Linked DNA regions of Struthio camelus. The protein of the gene in region 1 purifies or fractionates together with the protein of each later gene. This does not show direct contact. Links are inferred from orthologs where the notes say so. Each region holds a gene or a part of one and is shown in the gene's direction. Other genes may lie near its edges.

Region 1 (7,940 bases):
CTCCTGCCAGGATGCAACACTCACTTGGTCAGGCCTGCCTCCTTCACAGTTTTCTGCCAGATCTGTACCTTCTGCTCTCGCTGACTCAGTGCCTTCTGATACGCGTGGGGCAGTCCGCCCGGCGTTTCCGTTGTGTCTCCTTCCATCTCGAAAGGAATTACAAAGGTGTAGAACTCCGAGGGTGGCAGGAGGCGGAAGACGCTTGTGTCACTGCTCTCTTTGCACACCAGCATGGGACTGTCCCAGTAGTTCGGCAGAGTGGCCAGGCCCACCTGAGCCATGTGGTCTTCAAGCATTGGATAATGGGTGTGGAAAGGAGCGAAGCTGACTGCTTGGTTACCCGAGAGGATGAGAGGTTGGGTAGGTGTAAGAATGTAGAAAGTACAGCCAGTGGTGGAAGAGAGAGACAAACGATGGCAAACAGAAATGACCTTGACATTGTCACAGCTGTGGACGTGAACAGATGTCTGCACAGGGCCGAGGACAAAAGTGCTATTCCGGCACTTCTCAATGGTCACAGATCTGTAACAGAGCAAGAGAAGACACAGTGAGCCAGAAAGTCCGAAACCCAGACTCTTCTAACAAGTTAGCACATCTCAAACAGACCTGCTAAATGACATTTAGCTGTGCCTCAGGAAAACAAAAACTCACCGGAGAGGAGAGAGGAGATAAATGAAAGACTCGTTGCAGCGATGAATTCTTACATGAGCCCCCACCAAGGTGTCTGAGCTCTTGGCCAACGTCTGTTTGTACACCTGGCTCATTATCACCATGGGAAACACCTCAGGGACCACATGAGTATTGCAAGCAATCTTGGCTCTTCTGGTTGTTCCTTCAACTGCAAAATAAGTTAATCAAGACACTGAGAAAGAATATGATGGTTCACATCATTTCAAATGGCACAAGAAAAGCACACAAAATCAGCCCCAAACTTCAAGGACGGCACTGTCCAACTGTGTCACTTCATGCACCGGTCACACTACCACTAACAACTCCTGGGCAGGAAGGCAGTACACAGCAGTCAGCAGCTCTAGAAGTCATGGTACATCCAAAGAATCAAAAGCCCTTCAGAATTATTCATGGGAAGCCAGAGTCTCCCAGAAACTACCAGACGGACGGACCTGGTCTAGGCATCTCAATTTCCAGAGTTTGTTCCTGCACAGAAGGATCTTCCTGCCAGACAAAGACTCAGGGCAAGTCTTTAGCACTACATTGAAAGTGCAGATCACACATTTTAAGACATACTAAACCAATGAAATGCTCCTTCTACAGACAACCCTTGAGCAGCTTTGCTGTCCCATCTCACATTGCCCATCTTACATCTTACTAGTGTGCAGTCAGAGCAAACAAAACATTAATCTTATTTTTTTTTCCTCTAAGGTGAAAGATGTCCGGCTCCACTGCAATGTCTTTGCGGGCATGGGATGAGTCCATTCAAAGAGATCCAGATCAGTTCTCAGCTTTGCCACAACCACCCAAGCCTCCACAGACAAATCACATGTTCTATTCTTCGCCTCCAGTGGTACCTGAAAGATGAGGATAGTAATACCGATCTCCCTCAGAAGAGCATGTGAAAATAAAGTCATTGACATTTGCTCATAAAAGTGATCAAAGAACCAGAAAGATGCAAATACGTGTCATACGGCACCCTCTAGTTCCTCCCAGACTCGCCTCTAAGCTGTTACCTTCCCCATCTCCACTGTCAGCTGGAGGAAAAGGAGGTAAATCCACACTCCACTGCCAGATCCTTGCTCAGGACAAGGAGCTGAGGCTGAAAGTTACCTCTGGAAGTAAAGGCAAGGCCTACAGATACCTTGCTGCGCCCAGGCAAGCTTCTTCCCAGACTTGAGGCACGCAGTCATTCCAAAGGGGTTTGTTGTCAGGCAAGACCTTATCCAACTCTCTAGCTTGGTGAAAGAGAAGGCTTTGGAGATCTTCGAGTAGCCATTTTTCCCATGAAAGGGCTGCCAGAGGGCAAGCTCATGCAGAGGATGGACAGTTCTAGATTTGTTCACAGTCCCTTCAATAAGAAAGCTGAGGGCACGAACAGCTTCATAAGAGACCAAACTACTGTGAGCAGAATGGGAAGAGGCAGTGAGCTGGTCTGGCTCCAGCAGCAGTTCCAGCATATCCGAGAGGTGGCTCTGCACGAAGGCCTGGTGGTCTTGATCGTTCCAGTTCTTAGAAGGCAGAAAAACAAACAAGAACGAGGTGAGCTCTCACAAAGCGGACAGGCTTCATCAACATTATACAAGACATCCCTGCTTACACTAGAATCACAGTAGTTCTAAAAGAAGGAATTCAAGTGGAACACGGTGTTCTCTCTTTCTGCCCACCGCTTCTGTTGGTCTGCTCTTCCAAAACATGCATAAGAAACTGGATCCATCCAGCAACCCTCGAAACCAGAAAACTGTTTTATTCCAATTCCAGGTACTAAACATTTCACTCTAAAGAGCCAAAACAGGAAACAGATTCCCCTACAATCCTTCCCGCACAATTGTGGCCAGACAGCGCTGGCAAGTGAAGGTTGGAAACAAATCAATAACTGACAGTCAGGGTCTTGCAACTGCTCTGTTGGAAGCTCACTGCATCTCTTTCAGACCTTCAGATATGACAAAGTACCTCCTTCAGAGGAGCTGCAGGGAAAAACAGAGGGTCATTTCTTCAGAGGTGAGCGCGCTAATAAACTAAACAGCCTCTGGAAGAATCGTTAGCTCCAATTTTAAAAGGCTCCATACCAAAAAAGAGTGGGAGACTGGAATTATGGCAGCCATCAACAAAGGCAACTTTTGCTGGCCTGCAAACTGCAGAACAAGTAACGCCAGCTACGATCATACATTCTCCTCACCCACCGATAAGGGCTGCAGTTAAAAGGCAGCAACAAGCAGCGTTGGACAGCGTCTTGCCACAGGCTGACAGAGAGCAGCTCACACTGGATAAGCCTCACCAAACCATTTCAAAGGGGCTAATTTCTCGCAGTGCTCATATCAGGGATCACTGAAACTAGAGGCATCTCTTCCTATCTCACAAGAAAAAGTAATGCCAGTGGAGACAGCCCCCCACACCATCAGGATCAAAACGTTTAGCATGGCTACCCTGACAGCCAGGATGCACCTATTTTTTGTTCATCTGACAGTCAAACTTGAACAGCGATTAAAAGAAAGCATCAACTTCCAAAAGATGTTGGATGCCACCCTGGAGCCTGCAGCTCACAGCTTTACATTAGTTATTCTCATCTCTTTTTCATGTGTTAAGTCTTTTAGTTTAAAGCTACCCGGTCCCTCCTTTTAATCATTTCAGCTTGTCCCAAATTACAGTTCACTGGGTCATATGGCTCCTCATGTCATAGCCAGGACAGAAGCCTGCTGAAGTTTGCACCTGGCCTTTATAACGTTGTTGGCAATTTGTAATTCACTCTCAAATACAGAGCAGACCATGAACTGCAGCTGACGTATCCAGCTTACTTCTCCTATTTAGGAACACTTGATGTGGGACATCATCATCTTCACGTGACGGATCTACAGTTGACCAGCCACTCCATCTCTCTGCAATACAACTTAATGACATTTTCCTAAACACCGCTTTGGAATTCTAATAATTTAACGCAGATCGTGGGAAAGCAGCCTTCAACGTAAGAAAAGCCTCCTGCTTGGCTGGCTACACCCCTCTAACAGAAAAACCAAAGAAGCTGTTGCTGCTTAGAAGGAGAATTAGGAAGACTCAGAAAAAATTTTCAGTTAGTCTCAGACCACAGGAAATTTCAGCAGGCAAGTGTCACCGTTTCATAAGTTAAAGCGATAGAGAACATATCGGTTTCATCTCATTTACCGTGCTGAGACGTAGCTCAAATTTGACTTGCAGAAATGCTTCAGGCAGGGTACGCTCTCCCAGCAACAAACGGGATGCTCTTCAGCCCGCCTCCAGGGGAGGCGGCCGTTTTCTCACGGAGCAACCTCAGGAGACCCCCCACGCCCCCAAATACCTTATTTTGACTGGCAGACTTCCCAGTCAGGTCGGGAGACTTGGTCCTGGGGCTGGGCCACTCCTCGCCGATCAGGGACGTTCTCAGAGAAACCTTGTTCAGTTGCTGGATGTACAAAAACAGCAGGAACTGCAGGGTGTCTACTGACAACTACCCAAGGAGGAGGGGGGGAGGGAGAAACAAAACACAGGTTAAGAGGCGCTGCCCGTCACCCACGACCGCCCGGCCCGGCCCGGGGAGGGGGCTGGGAGAGGGGACCCCCCCTGCCTTGCTGCGCTGCCGCTCCAGCTGGTCGGCGCTGGCGCAGGCCGCCTCCGCCTCGGCCCGCTGGAGGCGGCGCGGCGGGTCGCGCCGGGCCAGGCTGTCGAAGAGCTCGAAGTAGAGCCAGGCCAGGCCGCGGCCCAGCTGCAGCTTCCCGCAGGCGATGTGGCGCCAGCGCGGCCAGGCCAGGCGCGGGAAGCAGCCGTCGGCGGCCCGCGCCCGAGCGTACGCCGCCATCTTGCGCAGGTAGTGGCGGCCCAGCTTGGCGGGCGGCGGCGCCCGCACGGCCCCCAGCAGGAACGGCTCCGTCTTCACCCACAGCCGCGCCGGGCCCGCCGCCGCCGCCGCCGCAGCCGCCTCCATGGCGGCCTCCCCCGTCAGGCGAGGCAAGGCGAGGCGCCGCCCAGAGCGCCCACCGCCCGGAGGACTGCGCGCGGCGCTCCGCCCTCTTCGCCGAGGAGCCGGCTGCCATTGGCGAGCCGAGCGGGCGCGGAGGCGGAACGAACGCCGCCACCTCTGATTGGTTACGGCCCTTCGCCGGCCTCGCTCTAGGCTTGGCAACTTCCGCCCGCGCCGACGCTCTGCCCTCCGGAGCTGCGATAGGGCAGGGGCGGCGTGACGTTGCCAGCCGCCATTGGGCCGGCCGGCCGGGCGCTGATGTCTTGGCAGCCGATTGGCCGGCGGCGCCGAGCCGGTGGTGAAGTGTGCGCGGCCGATAGGCCGGCGGCGCGCGGGGTGGGCGCGCTGTGCCGCGCTCCTATTGGCCAGCGGCCGTCGCCGGGCTCCGCTTCATATCTATGGTGAGCGGAGCGGGCGGCTGCGGTGCTGCGGGCCGCGGCCGGAGAGCGCCGCCTTCCCCCCCGGCTCCCAGCGGCTGCGGGCGGGCGCGCCGGCAGCCAGGCCGCGCTGCCATGTCCCCCGCCTCGCTCGGCCGCCTCTGCCTGCTGCTGCTCTGCGTGTGCGGCGAGGCCGCCGCCGGGTGAGTCCGCCGGGGCCGGGCCCGGCCCTCCCCGCTCCCCTCAGCGCAGGGCCCGCGCGCGCCCCCCCCCCCCACAACGCGGGCCTGTGCTCGCGCCCCCCCCCCCACGCGCTCCCCCCCCCACGCGCGGCTCTGTGCGCATGCGCCCTCCCCCGCCGGGGCGACCGGCCCTGGGGCGGCGGCGCTGACGGGTCCCCCCCGCTCTGCCCCGTTTCCCCCCCCCCCCCGCCCCCACCAGGAGGGACTTCTACAAGATCCTGGGGGTGTCCCGCGGCGCCTCCATCAAGGACATCAAGAAGGCCTACCGGAAACTGGCGCTGCAGCTGCATCCCGACAGGAACCCCGACGACCCCCGGGCGCAGGAGAAGTTCCAGGACCTGGGCGCTGCCTACGAGGTGAGCCCGGGTGCCCCCCCGCCGCCCTGCCCAGCGGGATGCTCCCCAGGCCTGCTGTAGCTGCTGCAAAAGGGAGGGGCGAGAGGCAAGGTGCAGTCGCGTGTGCTCTAGATGGCTCGAGATAACCTTAATACGCCCTCCCGAGGGCCTTCCCGGACAGGTGGGGTTCACGGGGAAGCAAGCTCCAGGCGTGAAGCCTCTTATGGCCAACAGGCTCTCTGCTGTGGTTTCCTCTCCATAAGATTCAGAGGAACGAGAAAGAACTGAGCCCATCTTACACCTTCAAGGAGGGCTTCCTAGGAAGCGCTAGTACCTGGTGCGATCCCTCCTCCTTCTCCTATTACAAAATGGTATCAAGTCCCAGATGCTGCATCTAATAAAGGACAAAGGCAGAGAAGCTGCCAGTGTGGTGAGAGAACTTACTTTGTTGGAGGAAAGCATACAAAAGCCATAGCTCGCTTAACCAGAGGAAAACAAGGGCAGAAAGTTCAAGTTCTTTGTTTACCCCACACTAAACCATAAATGTTAAGGACGAAAGAAAGCTGCCTCAGCTGGAAGCACTGGCACAGGAACAATCTGTCTATATGTATAGATGGGCTGTGAGTAAATTTTGGCTCATGTGAGATGAAAGGTTTTGAGCTTGCCTTTTACTAGGCATGTTAAAGTTGGGAAAATAATTGTTATGGTAGGGAATCAAATGTGTTAGGAACTTTCTCGTTTCTGTGATAATTTGATAATGTAATATTCTCTTAACTTTAGGTATTAATGCATTACATAAACCATCACCCTTTAGCTAGCAGAGTTGCTTCTTCCCTTGTTTCTGCTCTTCGCCAGCTTTCTGGAAGCTGGCCTGACAGTTTTAGTCTTCCAAAATATAATCAGCAGGTCAAGTCAGGGAGGAAAGGGAAGGAAGACTAAATCTGATCCAGGAACTTACGCATCTCGGGACGCACAGCAAAGACCACATACTGAGAAACGGTACCTGCATTGGGGTACTTAATTCTGTCTTAATACTGAAGTTACTTCTTGCTGACTTCTGCTCCCCTTTAGGAACGAGGGCCAGCGTTCTTGCTGTCGCAGAGTTACCATATTTGGCAGGTACAGCTTGGTGGGCAAACTTGCCATCGTTGTTCACAGTTATACAATACTCTTTGAAGAAATAGTCGTTTTGTATGTGCCTGAAGAACAAGAGTAGTATTACACAGCTTTCTGTGGAGTGTTCTGCTTCATAGGGCTGATTCGAATTATTATCCCCGTTTGATTCTTTTTCAAGTCACTATGGTAAACTCTGTACTGTTTGTATTTTGTGTGTTTTGCTTTTGCTGTTCCAATAAGCTAATTCTAGGTTTTAGCTACTAAATATTTAACTTTCCAGTCCACTTCAGCAAGCAAGTTCTAGCCAACACTTCTGTAATGTGCTACATGCTGCTGCTTGTCCTTCAGTTAAGAGAACTGGCAAGGTTCATCTCAAAGGCTTGTTTAAATAACCTGGTTCAGCTGTAGATGAGTGTCTTGTCCCTTTGCCCAGGTGCTGTCGGACGAGGAGAAGAGGAAGCAATATGATGCATATGGCGAAGAGGGATTGAAGGATGGGCACCAGAGTTCCCATGGAGACATCTTCTCACAGTAAGGAGGCTTTGTTCCTTTAGGCTATTGTGTAGTCAGAGCTCTAACTGTATGTTAAGGTCTTTGATCTTCTCCCTTTACCTCTCCAGGAGGGAGAGGGAGAGGCACTGATATCAAGTGGCAGCTGGGTTTTGAAGAAGTACGCATACAATGGACATCTCCCTGTGCTGTTTTCATTTGTGTATCTCGCGTTAGTCCTTTCTCCAAGAGCAGTGACTAGGAGCCAGCGTTCTCTTCCCCCGCGCGTGGCTGTTACTCACTTGGCAAGCTGAGGCGCTCATGTGAGCAATGCGTAAGGTGTTGCATTAAACATGTAGGATCTTTCTCGAGTTCTCTGATATGTGATTGATGTCTAACCTGTTGTCACAGACCAAGAGCACGCTTTGGGGTTCCTTTTTGTTTTACGAAGAAACGCTGTACTGACTTTTACAACAGAGCAACTGCAGAGTTTGTGTCATTAAAGTCTGAAGGCACTCACATGTTGCTTAGTTTGCTTAAGGTCCATTTGTTCCTGCTAGGAAGAAATTTGCTAAAATAATTCATTAAGGTGCTTTGCTCATGTAATCCTTCTGGGTGAGAACCACCACTGTTTGCTGGTCTGTTTTGAGCAAGGCATTCAGACTTGCTGTGGAGTTTGTGGGTTGGTGGGGGTTTTTTTGTTTTTTTTTCCATATTGCCTCAGTCTTCAAACTCCACA
Region 2 (6,974 bases), on another chromosome or scaffold:
CCCCGCTCTGCGCTGCCCTGCCCGCGCGGCCCCTGCGCCGCAGCTCCGTGGGGCCGGGCAGTGCCGGAGGGCTCCACGGGGCAGCGCCGGGCTGCGGGGGCGGGCGGCGAGGCCCCGGCCCCCGGCCCCGACCAGCGGCACGGGGCTCGGGGGCCCAGCGCGGCGCTGCCTCGTCTCCCTTTCGCTCAATCCGTCGCATGGATATTTACAGGGGACGAGCAGACACCGCGGTCACGTCACCCGCGCCGGGTTTCGGTAGAAAAACAGGTTAAAAATAGCAGCAGATGGGTCCCCAGGAAGTCACTTTGTCTCCCCGTGAACCGGCGCCAGGGCTGCGAGACGCAAACCGGCTCTGACAGGCGCGCCGCTCCCCGGGCCACCGCGGCCTCGCACCGCCGCTCGCCGCCGGCCGCCCTGCTCTGCGCGCCCTGGGTGCCGCGTCCTGGCCCGCCAAGCAGCCGCTCCACATCGCGTCTCCTCGCCCGGCGTGCCGCAGCCCCCGGGCAGCCCCCCGTTTCTGGGGCCGCGAGCGCCTCCCGCGCCCCAAAAGGCCCCCTCTGTGCAAGCGTCGGGGAAATAAGCACCATGAAACAGCAGCTGAGGGGAGGAAAGACGCATGCTGAGAGAGGGAGCGTGTGAAAGTCTCCCAAGGACAGATAGCGAGCCCGCCGAATGCATGAGCACTGATAAACTCGGGACACCGAGAGCCGGCCCCACGTGCCCAAGGTCGCCAGCGCACCCCGCTGCCCGCAGCCGGCAGGACGAGGCGGGGGCCGCGGGAGCAGCTGGACGCCCTGCACCGGGGCACGCGCCCGGATGGGGCCGGGGGGGCGGCGCGCAGGCGGGGGCCGCGGGAGCGAGCTGGGAGAGCAACGGGCCAGAAGCCCCCGGAGCGCCTGCCGCGGGCTGGGGGCTTCCTGGGGGCCGGGCGAGGGGGGCCCGAGGGGCGCTGGCGGCCTCTCCCGGCTCGGCCAGGCCCGGGCCACGCCGGCGGGCTGCAAACACAGCGGGGGCCCAGCAACCGTCACCAGGAGCCGCCGCGTTGCTACCAACAGTCAACACAGCACAGGCGGGGAGGAAAGTGCCTGGGGGGGGCGGCTGGGAGCACGGGGGGGCTGGTGTCCCCCCCGCCGGGATGCAATGGGGCCAGGCATCAGGGACTCCCCAGGCTGGTGTCCCCCCCACGGTGGCACGGCAGGGCTGGGCATCGGGGACCCCCCCAGGCTGGTGTCCCCCCCACGGTGGCACGGCAGGGCTGGGCATCGGGGACCCCCCCCCAGGCTGGTGTCCCCCCCACGGTGGCACGGCAGGGCTGGGCATCAGGGACCCCCCCAGGCTGGTGTCCCCCCCACGGTGGCACGGCAGGGCTGGGCATCGGGGACTCCCCCAGGCTGGTGTCCCCCCCACGGTGGCACGGCAGGGCTGGGCACCAGGGCCCAGCTAGGCAGGCTCATGCCAGCCCCGTCTCCCCACGTCCCCGGCAGAGCCCGGCAGGGTGATGGATGCCGGGGAGGGGGGATATGGGGGGGGTCTTAGCCCATGTCCTAGCAACCAGTCTCCTAGCAACCCTGTGCCGACGGTGGTTGCCTAGCAGCGGTCGGCGGGGAGACGACTGGTCTTCCATACCTAACGAGATGGGAAGGGTCTGGGAGGTTGGGGGGCTGCGGTTCCCCCCTGGTGCCTGGGACCCCCAGTGCTGCGGACCCCCGTGCCACCAGGAGCCCTTCGCCCCACGCCTGCGCACCCGGGGGCGGGGGGTGATGCCCTCACCGTCCCCGCAGCACCCCACCACCCAAACCTCGAGGCAGGGGTGGGCAGCAGACCCGGGTAAAGGAGCCGCCAGCTCCTCCTGCCCCAGCCGGGGGGGGTCCCCAAGGCAGGGGGCTGCTCCGAGCACCCCCGGCACCCGGGGACACCCTCCCGGGCGCCCACGCCGGAGCCGAGGATCCGAGAGCAGCCGGGAGACAAAGGCAGGAGGCGTTTCCCAGTATTGGGCCCATGTGGGGCCGCGTCCAAGCGACCACGATCTTATTCAGGCGCCGAAAAGCCCATTTGCAATCAACAGCTCTGGGAACCAGACAGGCCCGGAGGGAGCCGAATTTCCCGGCTGTCCCCTGCCCAGGCCCGGCGACGAGGCGAGCCCAGCGGCAGGGCCCTGCGGCCGGGCCGCGGCGGCGTGTCCGCCCCGGAGCGCCGACCGCCTTCCCCGGCATGAACAACAAAGGGCAGAAAGTCTCCCAGTGCCTCCCGACGAGATGCGACCCCGCCGCCCGGCCCGGCAGCACCCCGGCGCCCAGCTTCGCCCCTCGCCCCGGCGCGCCCTCCCCGCTCGCGAACCCAAGCGGATCCCGCTCCGCGGCCTCCCTCCGCCGGCCGGGGGGCCGTTAAACCCCTCCGGCGCGGGGGGCTGCGCAGCCCTTTGTTCTGGCGGAAGGCGCCCAAAGCGGGGTCCCTCTTTGTCTCTGGGCTCGCAGCCCCGCGGCGCCGGGAGAGCCGGGCTCCAGCCCCCCCTCTGGCTGCTTTGTGCCGCAGCTGGGCACGCGGCGCTGCGCCCCAGGGGCTGAGCAGGGCTGCTGGCGGCCAGGGGTGCAGGGACAGCGGGGACGTGGGAGCGGGGATCTGGAGCTGCCCCAAAAATCTGCATAATGTGGGAAATGCGGAGAAAAATGCGATTTCTCAGCAGAGGGGGAGCGGCGATCCTGGCGGCTCCACCTGCAGCAGCTGGCGCCAGCCCTGCCCTGCGCGTCCGGCCCGCAGAGACCCCGCGGAGCCCTCTCCCGCCCCTGAACCGGCCTGGGGGACCCTCCCCAGCCCCCCCCCCACCCCCAGCTGCTGTGGGCTCTGCAGGCGGCTGCACCAAGGCCAAACCGGGACCGTGGCCCCGGGAGCATCCGGGGGGGTGCACCAGATCGGGGCAGGGGGGCTGCGCAGGGGCTGCAGCAGATGGAGGGGGGAGACGTGGCCCCCCCGTCCCCCCGCTGGCCCCCCGCTGGGTCCCAGGCACCGGCTGCTCCTGGAAGCAGCTGCCGCTGGGGCTGGGAACCCCCCGGCCGCAGCCAGCCCATCTGCAGGGCGCTGCCCAAACCCCCCGGGAGCCGCTCCAGGAGCGGCCGCGGGGCTCTCCGGTGGGGCCCAAGGGGCTGACTGGGGTGCAGAGAGGGCTGGCAAGGGAACAGGGCCACGGCGCGGCTCTCACCAGGAGCAGGGCACGGCGGGAACGGGCAGCAGGATGGGGCTGGGGACCAGGGCACCGGGGCACGGCCAGGAACAGGGGCACGGCCAGGAACGGGGACCAGGGCGTGGCCGGGAACGGGGACACGGCCGGGAACGGGGACACGGCGGGGATGGGGACCAGGGCGTGGCCGGGAACGGGGACACGGCCGGGAACGGGGACCGCGGCACGGCGGGGATGGGGACCAGGGTGTGGCCAGGAACGGGGACACAGCGAGGAACGGGGACCGTGGCACGGCGGGGATGGGGACCAGGGTGTGGCCGGGAACGGGGACAGTGCTGGGAACGGGGACCGTGGCACGGCGGGGATGGGGACCAGGGTGTGGCCAGGAACGGGGACACGGCCGGGAACGGGGACCGCGGCACGGCGGGGATGGGGACCAGGGTGTGGCCGGGAACGGGGACAGTGCTGGGAACGGGGACCGCGGCACGGCGGGGATGGGGACCAGGGTGTGGCCGGGAACGGGGACAGTGCTGGGAACGGGGACCGTGGCACGGCGGGGATGGGGACCAGAGCACAGCCGGGAACAGGGACCGCGGCACGGTGGGGATGGGGACCAGGGCGTGGCCGGGTATGGGGACACAGTGAGGAATGGGGACCAGGGCACGGTGGGGATGGGGACCACGGCATGGCCAGGACTGGGGACAGGACTGGTCACGGGGACCGGAGCACCGCTGGGAACCGGGGCACCAGGACACAGCCAGGAACAGGGACCGCGGCACGGTGGGGATGGGGACCAGGGCGTGACCGGGCCCGGGGCTGGGAACCGGGGCTCGGCCGGGAAGGGAGCCCGAGCACGGCCGCATCCCCCCCGGGGCTGGAGAACGACGAGGCGAGGGGGCACAAAGAGCCGAGCCCCCCCCCGCCGCTCCTTTGTCTGGCGGCGCCGGGGGGGCATTACCTCATCGCGGCCCCGCGCCAATGGCCGCCGCCGCCGCCGCCCCGCCCGGCCCCGCCGCCCGCCCTATAAAGCGCCGCGCCGGGGCCGCCCGCCGCCGCGTCTCTTACATCGACCGCCTTGGAGTCGTGCTGTAAGAAAGCCCCGGAGCCGAGCAGCCGCCATGGTGAGCACCGGCCGCGGGGCCCCGGGGGGCGGCGGTGGCGGCGGGGAGCCGCCTCTGCGCCCGCTGCACCGCCCGGCGCCGCGGCGGCGGGGGCCCCGCTCCCCGCCCCCGTTATTGCAGCAGGATGGGAGCCGGTGCGGAGCGCTCAGCTCGGTTCACCGGGCGTGGCTCCCCCGTTAATAGGGCAGGATGGGACCCGTTCCCGGTGCGGAGCGCTCAGCTCGGTTCACCGGGCGTGGCTCCCCCGTTAATAGGGCAGGATGGGACCCGTTCCCGGTGCGGAGCGCTCAGCTCGGTTCACCGGGTGTGGTTCCCCCGTTAATAGGGCAGGATGGGACCCGTTCCCGGTGCGGAGCGCTCAGCTCGGTTCACCGGGCGTGGCTCCCCCGTTAATAGGGCAGGATGGGACCCGTTCCCGGTGCGGAGCGCTCAGCTCGGTTCACCGGGCGTGGCTCCCCCGTTAATAGGGCAGGATGGGACCCGTTCCCGGTGCGGAGTGCTCAGCTCGGTTCACTGGGTGTGGCTCCCCCGTTAATGCAGCAGGATGGGACCCGTTCCCGGTGCGGAGTGCTCAGCTCGGTTCACTGGGTGTGGCTCCCCCGTTAATGCAGCAGGATGGGACCCGTTCCCGGTGTGGAGTGCTCAGCTCGGTTCACTGGGTGTGGCTCCCCCGTTAATGCAGCAGGATGGGACCCGTTCCCGGTGTGGAGTGCTCAGCTCGGTTCACTGGGTGTGGCTCCCCCGTTAATGCAGCAGGATGGGACCCGTTCCCGGTGCGGAGTGCTCAGCTCGGTTCACTGGGTGTGGCTCCCCCATTAATAGGGCAGGATGGGACCCGGTGTGGGAGTGCTCAGCTCAATTAACTGGGTGTGGCTCCCCTGTTAACGGAGCAGGATGGATCCCGTTCCTGGTGTGGAGTGCTCAGTCTGCACTGGGTGTGGCCCCCCTGTTTAATGGGGTGTTCAGGGTGGGATAAGCCTCTCCTGGTGCTGAGCACCCTGATCTTGCCCTGGGCACAGCACCAAAAGTGGGCAGGGCTGGATGAGCCCCTGGTGCTGAGTGCCCCACAGTGGGTGTGGCCCTGGTTCTCAGGGGTCCCTGTGGGGTCTGTGGGGAGGACAGGGTGGGATGAGACCCCTGTGCTGAGCCTGCAACCCACACTGCGCATTGCACCAGAGTGTGGGTGGGCAGAATAAGCGCCCTGGTGCTGAGCCCTCAACATATACTAGGGATGGCAGTGGTCCAATTGTGTGGGTGAGGCAGGATGAGACCCTCTGGTCTTCATGTTGCATGGGGTGTGGCCCCTGTTCAGTGGGGCAGGATGGGTCCCTGGTGCTGAGCACTGCCACACCGCACTGGGTGTGGCTCTGGTTCCCAAACAGCAGGGCTGGATATGGCCACGGGTGCAGAGCCCCTCCCCTCCCCGCAGTGCCCAGCACCCACAGAACAATAGAGCGGGTGCAGGGGCTGGCCCCATCCAGCCCAAGGCACAGGGCAGCGTTGTGGGGGGCAGAGCCGGCGCTGGCAGGACCTGGGGGGCGCAGAGCCGGGGCGCTGGCTCACGCCCCCCGCTCCCCCCCGCAGCGCGAGTGCATCTCCATCCACGTGGGCCAAGCGGGCGTGCAGATCGGCAATGCCTGCTGGGAGCTGTACTGCCTGGAGCACGGCATCCAGCCCGACGGGCAGATGCCCAGCGACAAGACCATCGGCGGCGGCGACGACTCCTTCAACACCTTCTTCAGCGAGACGGGGGCCGGCAAGCACGTGCCCCGCGCCGTCTTCGTGGACCTGGAGCCGACGGTGATCGGTGAGCGCGGGGCGGGGGGTGCCGGTGCTGGTGGTGGTGCCGCCGGCGGCGCTAACGGGGTGCCTGGCCTCATCCCGCAGACGAAGTGCGCACGGGGACCTACCGGCAGCTCTTCCACCCCGAGCAGCTGATCACGGGCAAGGAGGATGCGGCCAACAACTACGCCCGGGGGCACTACACCATCGGCAAAGAGATCATCGACCTGGTCCTCGACCGCATCCGCAAGCTGGTAGGGGCCGGGGGGCGCTGGTGGGCGGGCGACAAGGACAAAGACTCCTCTTCAGCTCGCCCTCCCTCCTGACCAGCAAGGCTGGATTTAGATTTAATATATTAATTAATGTTAATCCGGCTGCGCCGCCCGGCTTGGCGGGGCGGCTCCCATTGGCCGGCGGCTCCCGGCAGCAGCGTGCGTCGCAGCTGGAGAGCGCTCGGGGCCGCGCCAGCCCCCGGCCCCCCTCGGTGCTGAGCTCTGCAATTCCCTCTTTGTTCCGCCTGAGTTCCTCATCGCAGCCTGAGCCCAGCTGCGTTTGGGTGGCAACAGGCGTCCAATTGAGTGTGCTGCGGCTCCTTGTGTGCCGTGGCCCCGGCCTGTCCCTGTTCCTCCCAGCCCTGCACACAAAACGCACCCAGAAAAGCCACCCTTGGGTTCACGTTGCTGCTGCTGGCAAGGCTCAGCCTGGGCCAAGCTCTGGGGCCACATGACACACAGCAGAAATCCAGCCCCGCAGGCTGTGCAGGGGCTTCCCACTGCTCCCCTGGGGAATTCACTGCTCCCATGACACTCCCAACAGATCGAGTTAGGGTCACCCTGTCCTGGTGGCTTCTGCCCTGCTGTTGGAAAGTCCCCACAATGTCATAGCGAGGCCACAGA
Region 3 (7,005 bases), on another chromosome or scaffold:
CTCTACATGGGATGCAGGCAGCTGCCACTGCATACAAAGATAGCAGGCATAGGCTGGCAGCGCTGAGGTGTGCGTTGGAGCAGGCAGAGGTAAGGCTGCACACGTACACACTTTAACCGTGCAGTCCAAATCCCCAGAAGCGTGAACTTTGCAGACCTTGGTGTTTTGGCAGGACATAAGGTAGGAATGGACGCCTTAACTGATAACGTAGTGCTTTGTCACTGATATTTTTCACCTTTTTTAAAATTGAAGAGACGTGTTCGATTAAGAGAAACACTTAAGTAGCTTGGAGTCATCATGTAGATTTGAAACTTCAGCTTTGGGACTTCAGCTGGGAAAGTTATTTTTAATACACTAGGCAAACCAAAAAACAGTTGCAGAGTTTCAAACAGTTTCAAAACTAGTTATGAAAATAGGCTGAATTTCATAAATGGGTTTCAGTCGAAAATAAGAGTTCATGAATGTTAAACTATTTCATATATTTTCAAAATAGAATGCTTTACTTCAGAAATACCAAAATATTTTACTGTTTGAAGCAAAGTTTTGACTTCTGATTTCAGAGTATCATTTTAAAATGCTCTACATCTTCAAAAATGAAAATACGTATTTTAAAAGAGGTGAGATTTTGTAATAAATGTAATATTTTGCTTTCTGTCAAGCCCCTTCACCCTCCCAAAATCAACAGACGTGGCTTTTAAATCAAAATGCTTGAAAAATACTGTTTCACTTCATCTTGAATTGTTTCAAATTTGAATTAGGTTTGAATTTGAGTTGTTTCTGGAATTTTCTGGAGTTTGCTGTTGCTGCCATGGCTGGTAAGAAAAGTTGCAGATATTGTATACATCTCACTGATTAAAATAAATTTAAAATAAATTTAATTGTGAAAATGAAACATTGGTGTCTAATTCCCATCTTCCAACTTCTGTCCTACATATCTCACAACACATAGCCCTGTTGATAATCAGCTATAGTAATATAGTTTAGTGACTGAAGGACCTGTATTATAGCAAGCTTAACCGAAATGAGAGCAAAAGACCTAGGTAGAGCCTATTTATAGCGATATAAACAACAGACAGCAGTTAGTCTCTTTTTGTAGTGTCAAAACTCAAGGTCATAGCGCAGATGGTTAAATCCACACTGGAAAAGTGGTTCTCCCATCACAGTTAGGACTAAGATATACTTGTATAATTTTGTTGGGACAGTATGAAGGGGAAAGCATTAACAGAGGGTAACCTTACCCTAAAGAAGACTAATTCCTCACACTCTTTAAAGTCCATAAGCTTCTCCAAGAGCACATTTACAGTACTTAAGTTCTTGGGCTGAACTGCATTCTGTAGGAGCCTTTCTGTTTCCATGTATTGCAAAAAGAGCCCAGGACAAGGAATTTCCCTAAAGTCATCTCTTACAAATGCCACCCAAAATGGGAAATCTTGGAACTTCCAAAAGATGTGGCCATGTAAACAATAACCCTATGCTATGCCTGCTAGCAGAGATGTACATTACTATCCCATTTAGCTCGGTCATCACTCCAATTTAATAACACAGCTGCGTTTCTGATAGCAATGCACATACAGGGGAATGGATAAAAACAAGGTGTAAGGCCTGAGAGATCCCTCACAAGAAGAAGCCCCGAGGATAGTAACTCTGTGTTATCGTCCTGTCTCACCGCCTCCCGTATTTTCATACAGGACTGTGGAAGTAACATAACAGTCCGATATATTGCTTATTCTCCTGTGTCAGGAAACTGATTGATATGGATGGGGTTTTTTTTGGAACAGAGATTAGTAACTAAGATGTGTTGCCAAGAATGCTAGCTCACAGGTAATTAGCGGGGTCCTTCCCAGTACCTGTGTGTTTTCACACCTAATCTGGATTTCTCACCACACCACAGTTACATTTGAGTAGGTTTCCCAGTTAATAAACAGAACCTACAGATTTAACTAAATCCACATCTGTCACCATATTCAGGTCACCATCCCTGTTAGAAGCAACGAGTGTCTTAAAAAGTCATTCCTTGCTAACTGATGCCCTCTGCTGTTACTGTATTACCAGCAGTAACCGTGTTGGAGAAAATTCCTTGGCTTTCCCTCCTTTGACCACTTTGAACATTAGCGTAGTCTTTGCAATCAACCCAGCTTCCACTCCAAAACTCAAGGCTGCTGAAGAAACTTGTTTCTGGTCCCAGTCTGCCAAATTTTTATTGATCCTTTTGAAAGACTTACTGTATTACAGCTGTGTCGGCTTGCTATTTCTCAGATTACTTCTAAAAAATGACGTTGGCACGTCATATCATTTGTTCTTTTAAGTCTTTCTCGTCTTCTGCATCTCGTTTGCTTCTGAAATTGCACAAGGGAAGATGTGTTAACGTACTTTCTTCTCCCAGGCTTATAGTTAATCTCTAAATTACACTTTTAGGCGTTATGATCATCAAGAATGTTCTGTCATGGTTCATGGTCTCTTTCAGGAATTACTGGTCAGGCATCTGTATGATGACTTCTCTAACACAGACGGACAGTGAAAAATGATTTCTCTTTGAGCACGTCCTTTTGTAGTGTTGGCATTACACACTGTTTTTATATACTACTACAGCCTACTGAAATACTGACCTCCCTTATTAGTATAAATACTGACTCCTTATTAAGCATCTACTGAGAATATTGGCTCACTTTTATCATAATACTGTTACTTTTTTTTAAGGGATATGATGCTTGGACTTTTATGCTTGGAAATCTGTTCAGATTGGTACTCCAGTATCAGCTACTGCTTTGAGTTTTCTTCAGATTCCAGATTGTTCTCTCCTAATCTTGTTATTAAAGGTCTCCATTAAGTAGACTGCTATCCTTACTATTGTTTCCAGTCATTTGGGGGGAGAGGGAGTTGCAGGTGTGAATTGCTATACTGTATTCACTTTTGTCTGGCTTTGGTGTAATACGTCTCTTTTTCTGAGGTACAGCCATAGGAATTCATTTATTGTAACAGTGCTCGCATTCTGCTCATGCTCAGTTTTTGGCTTTCGTATTTTGTCCTCTCCATAATGCTACAGAGTTGTCATGTTCTGCCTCACGCTGACATCTTTAGAGTGGCATCAATTATTCATTGCACATCTACCACTTCCATTATTCAAGTTCTTATCTCTGAATATCTCCTGCCGGTGAAATTTCAGGGTGATCCTTTTGAAGCACCATCTTCCAAACGAAACGTTCGAGAGGGATAACGTGCAGTTTTCTTTGTTTAGTCTGATCTTTCAGGAAAAGCTTGTCCTGCAAACCTTGCACATTTTCTCCGCTTGGGTGAGAAGGGCAACGTGACCATATCTTCAGAATGTAAAAAAAGAAACGTCTGTGGTCACCACATAAGATTTCTAGCGCCAAGTTTGTTATTTGCTGGGTGGAATTCTCATGAGAACAAGATTTTTTTCTTTTTTTAACATTGATGGGGTGTAATATTATATAACAGGCCCCTCATATGAATGGTTTATCCAATAATATAAAGCAGATAATTTGAAACAACAAACTGGGCACATACAAGATTACTTTTCCCGGGATAACCAAGAGCACGTCATATTTGCACTATGAAGAAGAAAGGAAAAGACATTTCCCGAAACACGTTTGCTGGCTGGTCGGCTACCTTTGCTTGTGTAGGTTTACAGCCCCAGCGGGAACTTCTAACCACAAAAACGCCGGGCTCTGCCAAAGCCGGACGACCCCTTCGCCCGCGGCCGGGTACAACCCCTAGCGCTTTTTCGGCACGCCTGGAGGACAACGGGTATGCTGATTATTTAGCTCAGTGTGAGGAGAAAACAGGCCTGTACGCCATCAAACACTGGGCAGCGAGCTGACCAAAAAACGCGGAACCCCTCACCCCTCCCTCCGCCGCCATTCCCGGTGAGGGCAATCCCGCCACCCGCGGCGTCCTCCGCCTTCCTGCGCAGGCGCCGAGCGGCCACACTCTACCACCCCCGCCCCCCCCCCCATCCCCTCTCCGCGCAGGCGCGGTGGCGGCTTCCCGGTTTACTGCCCGCGCAGGCGCGGTGGCAGCGGTGGGGCTCGGTGTTGTGCGGGCGGGCGCCTTCACGCTGCTTCCACGTTTCCCGAGGGCGAGGGGGCGGGCGGGCGCGGCGCAGCCAATCGGAGGCGCCCACGACCCACCCCGGACAAGTTGGAGCTCGTCGGCCGCGGGCGTTGGTGGAGATGGTGTCTCCTGCGGCTTCCGCCGGCCGTCTGGGCTCTGCGCTGCCTTTTCTGCTGGTGCTCTTCGACCTGCAGTACCAGGGTGAGGGCGGAGAAAGGGGGCCGCAGCGCCTCCGGGGTGGGGGAGGCCGGCCTTGCCGCCCGGGGGTCGCGGGTGGGGCGCGCCGCCTTGTGCGGAGGCCGCGGGGGGCGCTGCCTTGGTTCCTGCGGGCTGCCGTTAACGGTCGCGGCGGCCGAGGGGCGCCTGGGTTGCTGCCCTTCCCCCCCCCCCCCCCCGCGGCCTGGGGGGAGCCGCCATGGCAGGCGGGCCGGGCCAAGGGGCTGGGGCAGAGGCAAAGCAGAGCGGAGCAGCGGCCTGCCCCAGGGCAGCTGGTGGGACCAGGCCGGCGGGAGGTCCCCGGGTGGCGTCGGGGCAGTCCCTGCAGGGCGTCCGGAAAGCAAATATTTTTGGAAAGGGTGGGAGTTAAAAAGGCGACGCAGAACTGCCACCTCATCAGAGCTAATGCGAAAGGTGTGCAATGAATGTTGGTGCCGCTGCTGGTAGCTTACTGCCTTTTACTGAAACTTTAGTCAGTGCTGCTTGAGGTAGTTCGGTGTGTGTTTCATTTTCTTTGGCCTGCTAATAGGGAGCTAAGGGGAAATGCTGTGGTGGCCTGCAGCACAGCTCTGCAGCACCATTGAGCTGTTCTGTACTGGCCTCAAGCCTCACTTTTATATCACTTGTATGTAATTTTCAAGTTAGAAGGTTTTTTTCCTTTGGTTTCCGTAACCCACAACGGTTATTAGGGCCTGACCTGCAAGTTTGCTGTGGCTTCTCACTGTCTTCCATTTGTTTATGTTTTTTTGCATCACTGTTGGTGTTTGAAGTTGGTCAGAGTACCACGTGCAACCTATCTGCTTTCAGAGTATGCTGTCAGCAACACCTGTGTAGTCAAACACATTCTCAAGCTCCTGTTAAATTTATAACTTGGTTATGCAATTGTGCATTTATTCAGAAACACGGTTGCACCTGAGAAACGTCCTGTCACTGGTAGAGGTTGATTGAGATAGAACTGAGACTGTCACTACTCAGAATAAGTCTATGGACTTGCAGCTAACCTGGCTTGACATTAGAAATTCAGTCGGAAGATGTACTAGATGAAAATTTCAGCTCACCAAGTGGCAATAGGTACATAGTGTAGCAAAGATGCTCTGTAGTATATGACTATGTGCTGTGGTGTTGAGTTGCTTTTTTGGATATGTATTCTGCTATTGTTGGAGGAAAAACCTAACTGAGTTCAAAGTATGTGTGTGTGTATATGTATATATAAATACATATATAGAACTCTGGCAGTGATGTTCCTGCTGAGGATTCTTTATTCAGAAGTGCTGGCCTAGTCTGATTATATTCTCTGTAAATGAATAATTTAATGAGTCTGTGAATTACCAAAGCCACGTTTCCTAGCTTGGGGTATATTCTCTTAACTGAACTCTGATAGTTTACTCTCTTTCAAAATATATTTATTAATAGGGTAAGAGGTGATGGTTCTTGATGTTATTTACTTCCTTATCTTATTTCACGAACTCATTTCCCAGGAAATTGAGTTAAGGGATGTAGATTTTGTTGTTGTTTCAAGTATCTAGATTCTTTTTTTCCAGCATTAGGGGGTTTTAAACTCAAAGGCCTTAAAAGGCACATTTATGTTTGTCTTGCTGCCTTGATTGTAGAAGTCTTCATTGTGTCATCTGAATCATGAATCTTTGGGACGAGTGAGCTTGAATTAGCTTTGTGTCTTAAGGGTCAACATTTATGAAAACTAATTTATTTCTGGCTAGTGCATGAGTTCAGTAAAAGAGCTGGAATAGTTGTTGGTGTGGCAAGTTGCAGTTCACCCATTGCTGTTGTGTCCTGAATTCCTCCTCCTGGATTACCTTGGTTTCTGCCTGGTGAATAAGCTTTCATTTGATGTGAGTCACCTCTGGGAGAGTCAGTTTTCATGGATGGGTTGTCCAGCCTCATTGCAACAGAGAAATGAGCTTTCAGTGTACAGAGCTCAACTCATTGTCAGACTGCTAACCTTATTTAAAGTGTTTCTTCCATATCCTTCTATCCGGAGTTTGGGAAATCTTTTTTTTTTTTTCCCCCCACCCCAAACTGTAATGGATACTAATGTGAGGAAGAAACTAGTTTCCTGGGAAGGAGGAGATGTGTTTGTGGTATGTATTTTTGATTGTTTGTTTGCTGACCTTTGTTATATTTATCAACTTTCTTTGGGAACTGAGGGAGTAACAACTTTGTGGACTGAAATCGCATGCAGCTTAATTGGGTGGGGGGAGCTGCTGTACTCTGAGACTTCTTATGAGCCCTTTCATACTACTCCTGAAACTTTGTGATTGTTCATCTACTTACTTTGTTTGGTGTTGGTCTTAAAACACACACAGACACAAGCAAAGCCCAAACCTATTTAAAAATAGCTGCAATCTTGCAACTTGAGGTAAGCGCAGGGTAGTTCTAATCAAAAAGCTTCACGCAGCGAAGACCCCCCCCCCTTCCCCCCCACCATGATAAAACAATTATTAAACTTTCAGGTAAAAAAAAGAAAAGAAAAGAAAAAAAGGAAGCTTGGAAGGAAATTTTAAATGGCCACAATTGAGATTAACGGCATGTATGTTTCTCCTTTGTCTATGACTTCGTATCAATTTTTTCTGGTACACGATTATAATTTCTTTTGTTTATTTTCATGGGCTTCTTGCCAAGCTCAGGGACAAGATTTCTAAAAAGTGTTTTGTAGGGGAGAGTTCTGTAGGAAACATGAGAGAAATGTGTAGTCGAATG
Region 4 (7,183 bases), on another chromosome or scaffold:
AGCTGGTCTAATGACTGCCCAACTCACTGTACGGGAGTCACATCTCCACTGGAAAAATGGGTATGGATTCTCGCATCAAAAAGGGTTGATATCCCCAAATTCTGGATTATATCTGCTAGGAGACCAAAGGCTTCCTTGCATACCAGATCAATGGAGGCTACACAGTATATCAGTCACCTTCCCTTTCCTTTTTTCTGAAGTCATCTGAATTCACACTGGTACAAAATGTGTCAAAACCTGACGAGGTGCATGGCGTTAGCAAGGTGGCTTATATAGCTAAAAGGCAAAGTTTACTATGATGATCTTATTATTAACTTTACATTAAATCATGCTGTAATGTTAAAGTACCAGACTCAAACTCTCCTTGACAAATTTCAGGTAGGCAGGTCTCAGGACTTCAGTGAGACGATAGGCTTAAGCATACACAAGTGGTGTTTCTTACAAGCATAGGGCCTAAGTATGGTTTTAGATTAATCCTTAACTCACTGACTCATCCATTGCTTTACGTTAGAGTATAGCAGAAAGCAGGATTTGAGTATTACTTAGCATGTGTATTCATGCACAACCCATAGGTGAGGAAAGACCAGTCTTTCTTTACTGATGATTATTAATGGCACTGCTCATTGATAGTGAATTTTAATCCATTTTCTCTCCTTACTTTTTCAGAGAGTTATTTTCTCTCTCTCTGTTTCCTTCAGACTGTTTAATGCAGAAAGACTAAAAATTAATTTATGTTCGATACTAGCTACATTTTACACTTAAGTATTAATGACATCTAAACTTTTTAATCTTTTTTTTTTCAGTTCTATTTTGACAACAGGAAATAGTTTGCATTTCCTCTGCTTCCGAGGATCCCCCTTCCTAAAGGGTGAAGGGCTGGAGGGGCAAAAAAGAACAGCTGGGATGATACAGGTTTTCCAGAATTCAAGAGCAGATTCTTTATCTCTTGTTAAAAAGGCTTTTTATACAAGTGCAACTGAAAAATCACTTTCAGATAAACCTGGATTTACATTTGTTCCTCTCACAGAGGTACACCTTGAGACAATGTTTGGCTTTAAAAACTCAAGGACGGTGGCAAAAGACTTTCGTCACAAATTGATAGATTGGAAGCTTGAAGAGCTCTAAATTTCAAAAGCCTACATCAGAAGTCATGGGCAAAAAAGATGTTCTGATGTAGTGATGATGATCTAAGCAATAAACGATCATCAGCAAAGTACAATGAACCAAGAAACCCATTAGGCAGAATATCACTCCTCTGCCAGAGATAACTGAACTACTGCCTCCAAAATTTCCTGAAAGTCTATCGTAAAAGGTAGAGGGCTCCCCAAAGCAGGCTACCGTACAATTTTTAAGAGAAACAACATTTCTAAAAAATCTAGTACTGCAAATGAGAGCCAGGGAAAATTACCTATTTTACCAGACAGAGAAGATGACACCTCTGCAGGACCTCTGAGGACTCCTTATTGTCTCAAAAGAGTGGCAGCCGAAAGCTGTTATCTTTGTTACTGCACACCAGAGATTTCTGCAGAGTCTTACAGGGAATAATGTTCCTTCTGCAAAAGAGCTAGTGTTACCAGTGAGAACATGGGTAACTCCTCAGACGCATCATTTACATGTGGAAATTAATCTTGCAGTTCACTTACAGCAATTGGAATCTTCTCTCAGCCTCACTGAGAGCACCTGGAAAATTTCATTCGATTTAATGTACACAGATGCTAATTCTGCTGAAGCTCTAAGAGGAGATCCCCTCTTCTTGAAGAGCCAGCATCAATTGGGAGAATAGCCAAAAGACACTTGACGATGTTACTGAACACAGATTGTGAAGACTCTGAAGAACTTCCCAGAAAGTCCTCTCTTTTTCAAAGACTAGAAACAGGGTAGCAATCAGAAAACATCAACTGTTTTCCCTTAGATGTGAAATTCTACAGTTTCAACATGTATATACTTATACAGTTTTTTTTGTCAAATGTCTTCTACTTACATACTTTGCTTATTCTTATATTTTGCTTGTATCTATTGAATCAAAAAAAAAAATCTGAATAGCTAGTTTTCAGTCTCTAAGCCTTAAAAAACATGGGCTAAGTGATGAGAGACTGTAATTCCATAAATTCTTGGCAAGCCACCTTTTTGTTGTTTCAATTTCTCCTTGGGTGACAGCATTTTACCGTTGGGATTACGGTTTATTTGTATTGTGGCCATGCCTAGAGGTCACAGTTAAGACAGCTCTGTTCTAAGTCATGTGAATAGATAAAAAATATTTGAGTTGGAGTGAAGTTACAACCATCATTTCATCAGTGTGTCGTGAAAGGAGGAGACCCAGAAGTAGAAGGAACCAGAAACGTTTACAGGTCTGATTCTCTAGTACTAGTATTCCCTTGATTTCAGTATAGTTCCTCCTTATTGACATCAGAGAAAGGATCAGATGCGGAGAAAGGTCAGTAATAAAGCTGATGTTGGACTCTAAGGTTTTTGGGTCAGGTCCTAGTAAGAGCAGAACTGTGTCCTGTATGTTTTGCCTGAGGTTAGTGATAGTTTGAGAAAGAGAATCCAGGAGATGTCACTGCAGTGCTCCCCATAACCAAGGGGAAAGCTTAACGCCAACATAAAAAGAAGGAAAATACTTTTCTATAATATGTTGCTTTGGGCCAGCATAGTCTCCCTGAAATTTTCTTGTGCCATGTCTCCAGTTCCGGATCGCCCATTCCTATGCTTTACACACACAGATAGATTCCCGCTGCCAAACCCACTAAAACCTGTTTTTCGGGGGGGGGGGGAAGGGGGCAGGTTATACCTACAAGTGCAACTGAGCAGAAACTGTAGGTGCTTTCATTCCTTGAAAATCCTTTGCTTGTGAAAGGACTGCAGGATTAAGTGATCGAAGGCAGAACGCATTCTAGTTATATCCTACACTCTCCCCTTTTACTGTGCTGTTGGATTATTTTATTCCTGTGCATAAACAAGAACCACAATGAAATTCCTATGCAAGAAGCTATTGTTTCCATTCATTATGTGCCCCATCACATAATTTTGGAGCCAAGTTTACCTGCAGCTTTCAACAGTCTACTAAAAACAATAGCGGGCCCTGCAGCAATGAGGTGGCTGCTAATTGCCATGGGTGTTTAGCATTGATGGGGTTCTCTGTTGGCAACCGTTCTAACCCAATTATGTTTCTCAAGTACAACTGAAAAGCATTGTAGGGAGCACCATGTAAATGGCACTGAATGCACTGGGAGCAAGTGACCTCCCAGAAAGATGGACAGGTACCAGCTAAAGCCCCTTATGATTGATTTTCCATGGCTAAAATAGCAACTACAGACATCTGGGTTTGCCCGGTTTATAGAAACACCAGTAAATGCAAGCTATTGTCTTAGTTACAAGAAGAGGGAGGTTTCTTAGAACGACATAGAAATATGATGTTCGGTTATCAATGTGTGATCTTTTGCTTTTCTTTGAGCAGACATTTACATTTCAGGAACTAGAAAATTAGTTTATAGTCATCAGAAAAACACACCGAGTCTTGTGTGCGCATGTGTATATGTGCATGTATGTGAGCTTAGGACTCAGGCTTGTTTTAATGCAGGCCTGCCATTTAAGTGAGAGATGATTCTTAGATGTAGGCACAGATACATCAAATGGGTCAAAGCTAGCATGGTTATTCGAGTGAGTGACATGTGGCTAGTAAAAAGCCTCACAGACTCAGGACTGGTGGAAAAGATAAGAGTCAGCTGAGCATCTTACAATGTTTCCACTAGGCAGCAGACTAATGTGCTTTCTAAATCATCCTATAATAGAAAGTGCAGTGTTGCAGTTCTTTGCTGTTGCACGTTGTAGAATACCATTCTTACGACTTAAGTCCCAAGACAGGTGCCCTTCCTACTTGTTTCCTTGCTGCTAGGAAGGTCAAAAGCTTTTGCTCTGTTAAATTACGTTGTATTCCTGAGAGCGTTACACCAAACTCATACCAGACTGTCCATGACGTGACATATGGGGCAATCAAATGAGCAGTTTCAGAGGCAGAGCTAACGGGCCATGCTAGAGATACTGTGTCATCCTTTGTCTGTGATTGTCTCCTGTTGATAAAGGAGACTTTTTTTTTTTTTAAGGAAAAAAAAAAGATAATATTTTTCAGTCTGCAAAACTAAACAATGAATGGAAGAAATGTGTATGTTAATTTATGCAGCTTTCTTTTATACAGAATGCCAGTGTACACTGCATATCAAGCTTAATATTTTTGTTACAAGAACCTCACAAAGGAGACTGAATCACAGAAGGTGAACTTTGTGCTCTGAAAGCACAGACATTCTCATTGCAGCTTAATGACAGAGTAATCGCTGTTAGCTCTTCTTGGCGTAGTATTCATGCCCTGTCATGAGACGCTCTAATACCATCCAGAAAGGATTGGACCAGTGGTATTTTCTCATGAAAGCCAATTCACCACCATGAATTTGCTTTGTTTTTCAGCATTTTGTTACACTAGCATTTTGAATGGCACTGGCTGTGCTTTTCAGAGACCCAAAAATGGGGGTACGTTTACACTTCAAGAGCAGGGACGGCAGGGAAGGGCAGATCTGTGCCAAGTAACACCCCAGCTGCTCGCTCTGGGCCCGCAGCGGCCGGAAGGCCAGGGCACGGGCTGGTTTACCTATCGGCGCCGACACCAGCTCTCCGGCGCTGCGTCCAGGCTCGTTACCTTAGAGCTAGCTCCTGTCTGCCAGCGCTCTCCCCCTAGCGAAGACACCCGGTTTTCCCCAGGCTCTGGCGATAATTCACTGATCAGTCCTCTCTGCAGTGTGTTTTCGTACGCGGCCCGTAACAGCTAGTCAGAACGGCCCAGCTTCTCTTTTTCTTACAACTCCAGAGTAGGCGTCAGATGAGACAACTGCTGCACCAAACCCGGCCTGCTTTCCTCTGAAATAAACCTGTTTTCGGCAACAGAAAGCTCGCAACGAGAGAGGGAGGCGCGTTCCTGTCAGCGCCACTCCCGGGGCGCTGCGGGCCGGGCCGCTCCGCTCCGGCCGCGCGGGAAGGTGGCGGGGAACCGCGGCCCAGCCGGGCGCTGACCCGGCCTCGGGCCCGCCCGCGCCATCGCTGACGGGAAGCGAGCCGCCGCTTTCCTCCGCATCCTTCCCTGGGAGGTGCCACGCCGCTTGCTCTGATTGGCCACCTCTTCTCCCCCGGCCCAATGAGCTCCTCCCGCCGGGGGTCTGCCGGTGGTGAGGTCACTAGGGTATAGCCCAATGCGGGTGGGAGCCGGAGCAGAGGGCGGGCGGGGATTGGCCGGCCGCGGTGCTGGCAGCGGGTGATTGGCTGGCGTGGCGGAGGGGGTGTGGAAGCGGGCTCCGCTGCTGGGGGGCGGCGGTGCCGGCCGGGCTGAGGAGCGATGCGGGGCGGCTGCTGCCTCTTCCCGTTGCTGCTGCTGGCGCTGCTGGGCGGGCCGTGTCGCGGCAGGGAGCCCGCACCGGGTGCTGTTACCTGCGGGTCGGTGCTGAAGCTGCTCAACACCCGCCACAGCGTGCGGCTGCACTCGCACGAGGTCAAGTACGGCTCCGGTGAGCAGGGCCGGGGCGGGAGCGCCGCGCTGAGGCGACCCGGGGCAAGGAAGTGTTGGTCGGCCGGCAGTGAGGGGCAGGGAAAGGGGGGGAGGACGGCTGGGAAACGGTGAGGGGACAGACGGTGAGGGGGGGCTGTGAAATGGCGGGGGGGCTCGCGGGGAGGGAGGTTGGGGAATGGCGGGCGGGAAGGGGGGCTGTGAAATGGCGGGGGGGCAGGCGGGAAGGGGGGCTGTGAAATGGCGGGGGGGCAGGCGGGAAGGGGGGCTGTGAAATGGCGGGGGGCGGGTGGGAAGGGGGGGCTGTGAAATGGCGGGGGGGTAGGTGGGAAGGGGGGCTGTGAAATGGCGGGGGGGCAGGCGGGAAGGGGGGCTGTGAAATGGCGGGGGGGCAGGCGGGAAGGGGGGCTGTGAAATGGCGGGGGGCGGGTGGGAAGGGGGGGCTGTGAAATGGCGGGGGGGTAGGTGGGAAGGGGGGCTGTGAAATGGCGGGGGGGCAGGCGGGAAGGGGGGCTGTGAAATGGCGGGGGGCGGGTGGGAAGGGGGGGCTGTGAAATGGCGGGGGGGTAGGTGGGAAGGGGGGCTGTGAAATGGCGGGGGGCAGGCAGCGAGTGGGACAGGGAGATGGCGGGTGGCCCAGGGAAGGAGGTTTGAGGTTTCTGGGGATTGTGCCCCTGGTGCGGGGGGGAGGGAGCAGCAGGCCAGGGATTGTGGGGTGTCCTGGGGGAGAACTGGCAGGCTGGGAGGAAAGCTGCAGAGAGGAGGGTGCTGAGGCCCAGGGTGTGAGAAGGGGTTGGGGCAGGACTCCACCGCAGAGTACCAGGGGTGCTCTGCCCTCACCCGAGGTGACCCACTGGTCTGTGTGGAGGGCCTCAGCAGTCCCATCTCAGCCTCTGTGCCGGGAGGGGTGAGGCTGCTGAGTGCCTTGTTTGAGTGCTTGAAAAAAATGATAGTATTTTTGAAAAGGAAAAGATGCGAATAGTATTTCATGGATCATACCTCCAACATAACTTCTTCTCGTGTGTTTGCTGTGAACTTTAACAGTTCACATCTCCTAACACGTGCTCTGTTTAAGTTCTTCGTGCTCTGTTTAAGTTCTTCGGTCTAAAGTCATTTGGTACCTGCATTTCCATTGCAGTCAATAGGTGGACTATGACAACTAAGCACCTCTAAGCATGAAGGCATGAGACCATTAAGGCAGATTTCTTTAGATGTTCATGCCTTAACATTTTTTCTTCTCCTTATCAGTTCAGTTTGTTTATTAGATTGCAGCACGAATAAGGTTATAGAATTAGAGGCTGTCTAAAACAGGAAAATGGTTGAGACTGAAATACTCTTTTGTAGTGTGTTTCAGAACTTTTTGAACTGGGAAAAGTGGGTTAAGCCTCCTACTACTTAATTCTGTTGAAACAGGAAGTGGGCAACAGTCAGTGACAGGAGTTGAAGCTTCAGATGATGCTAACAGTTACTGGCGGATTCGTGGGAAAAGTGATGGCAGCTGCCAGCGAGGAACACCGGTGAAATGTGGGCAAGCTATACGACTTACCCACGTTAACACAGGAAAAAATTTACACACTCATCACTTCCCATCACCACTCTCCAATAACCAAGTGAGTTGTTCTAAATGTTAAGCTT

The links.
Region 2: the proteins of DNAJB11 (region 1) and tubulin alpha-1A chain purify together in Homo sapiens (affinity purification with mass spectrometry; 3 studies listed by BioGRID and IntAct, counting the BioPlex papers as one, with this or other methods). This does not show direct contact. The link is inferred for Struthio camelus from reciprocal best matches to the Homo sapiens genes DNAJB11 and TUBA1A.
Region 3: the proteins of DNAJB11 (region 1) and DNAJC3 purify together in Homo sapiens (affinity purification with mass spectrometry; 3 studies listed by BioGRID and IntAct, with this or other methods). This does not show direct contact. The link is inferred for Struthio camelus from reciprocal best matches to the Homo sapiens genes DNAJB11 and DNAJC3.
Region 4: the proteins of DNAJB11 (region 1) and SDF2L1 purify together in Homo sapiens (affinity purification with mass spectrometry; 3 studies listed by BioGRID and IntAct, counting the BioPlex papers as one, with this or other methods). This does not show direct contact. The link is inferred for Struthio camelus from reciprocal best matches to the Homo sapiens genes DNAJB11 and SDF2L1.

Annotation. Positions count from the first base shown.
Region 1 is NC_090950.1:4,130,445-4,138,384, reverse strand, and holds the start of DNAJB11 (dnaJ homolog subfamily B member 11), read left to right. Parts: upstream 1-4,925; 5' UTR 4,926-5,040; coding exon 5,041-5,222; intron 5,223-5,460; coding exon 5,461-5,617; intron 5,618-7,145; coding exon 7,146-7,243; intron 7,244-7,940. Other genes in the region: TBCCD1 (TBCC domain-containing protein 1), read right to left, coding at 25-522, 652-838, 1,814-2,180, 3,983-4,132, 4,250-4,606. UniProt on the Homo sapiens protein: As a co-chaperone for HSPA5 it is required for proper folding, trafficking or degradation of proteins.
Region 2 is NC_090969.1:906,419-913,392, forward strand, and holds the start of tubulin alpha-1A chain, read left to right. Parts: upstream 1-3,970; 5' UTR 3,971-4,293; coding exon 4,294-4,296; intron 4,297-5,880; coding exon 5,881-6,103; intron 6,104-6,183; coding exon 6,184-6,332; intron 6,333-6,974. UniProt on the Homo sapiens protein: Tubulin is the major constituent of microtubules, a cylinder consisting of laterally associated linear protofilaments composed of alpha- and beta-tubulin heterodimers.
Region 3 is NC_090942.1:166,180,799-166,187,803, reverse strand, and holds the start of DNAJC3 (dnaJ homolog subfamily C member 3), read left to right. Parts: upstream 1-3,993; 5' UTR 3,994-4,190; coding exon 4,191-4,272; intron 4,273-7,005. UniProt on the Homo sapiens protein: Involved in the unfolded protein response (UPR) during endoplasmic reticulum (ER) stress.
Region 4 is NC_090958.1:10,271,665-10,278,847, forward strand, and holds the start of SDF2L1 (stromal cell-derived factor 2-like protein 1), read left to right. Parts: upstream 1-4,175; 5' UTR 4,176-5,380; coding exon 5,381-5,549; intron 5,550-6,961; coding exon 6,962-7,158; intron 7,159-7,183.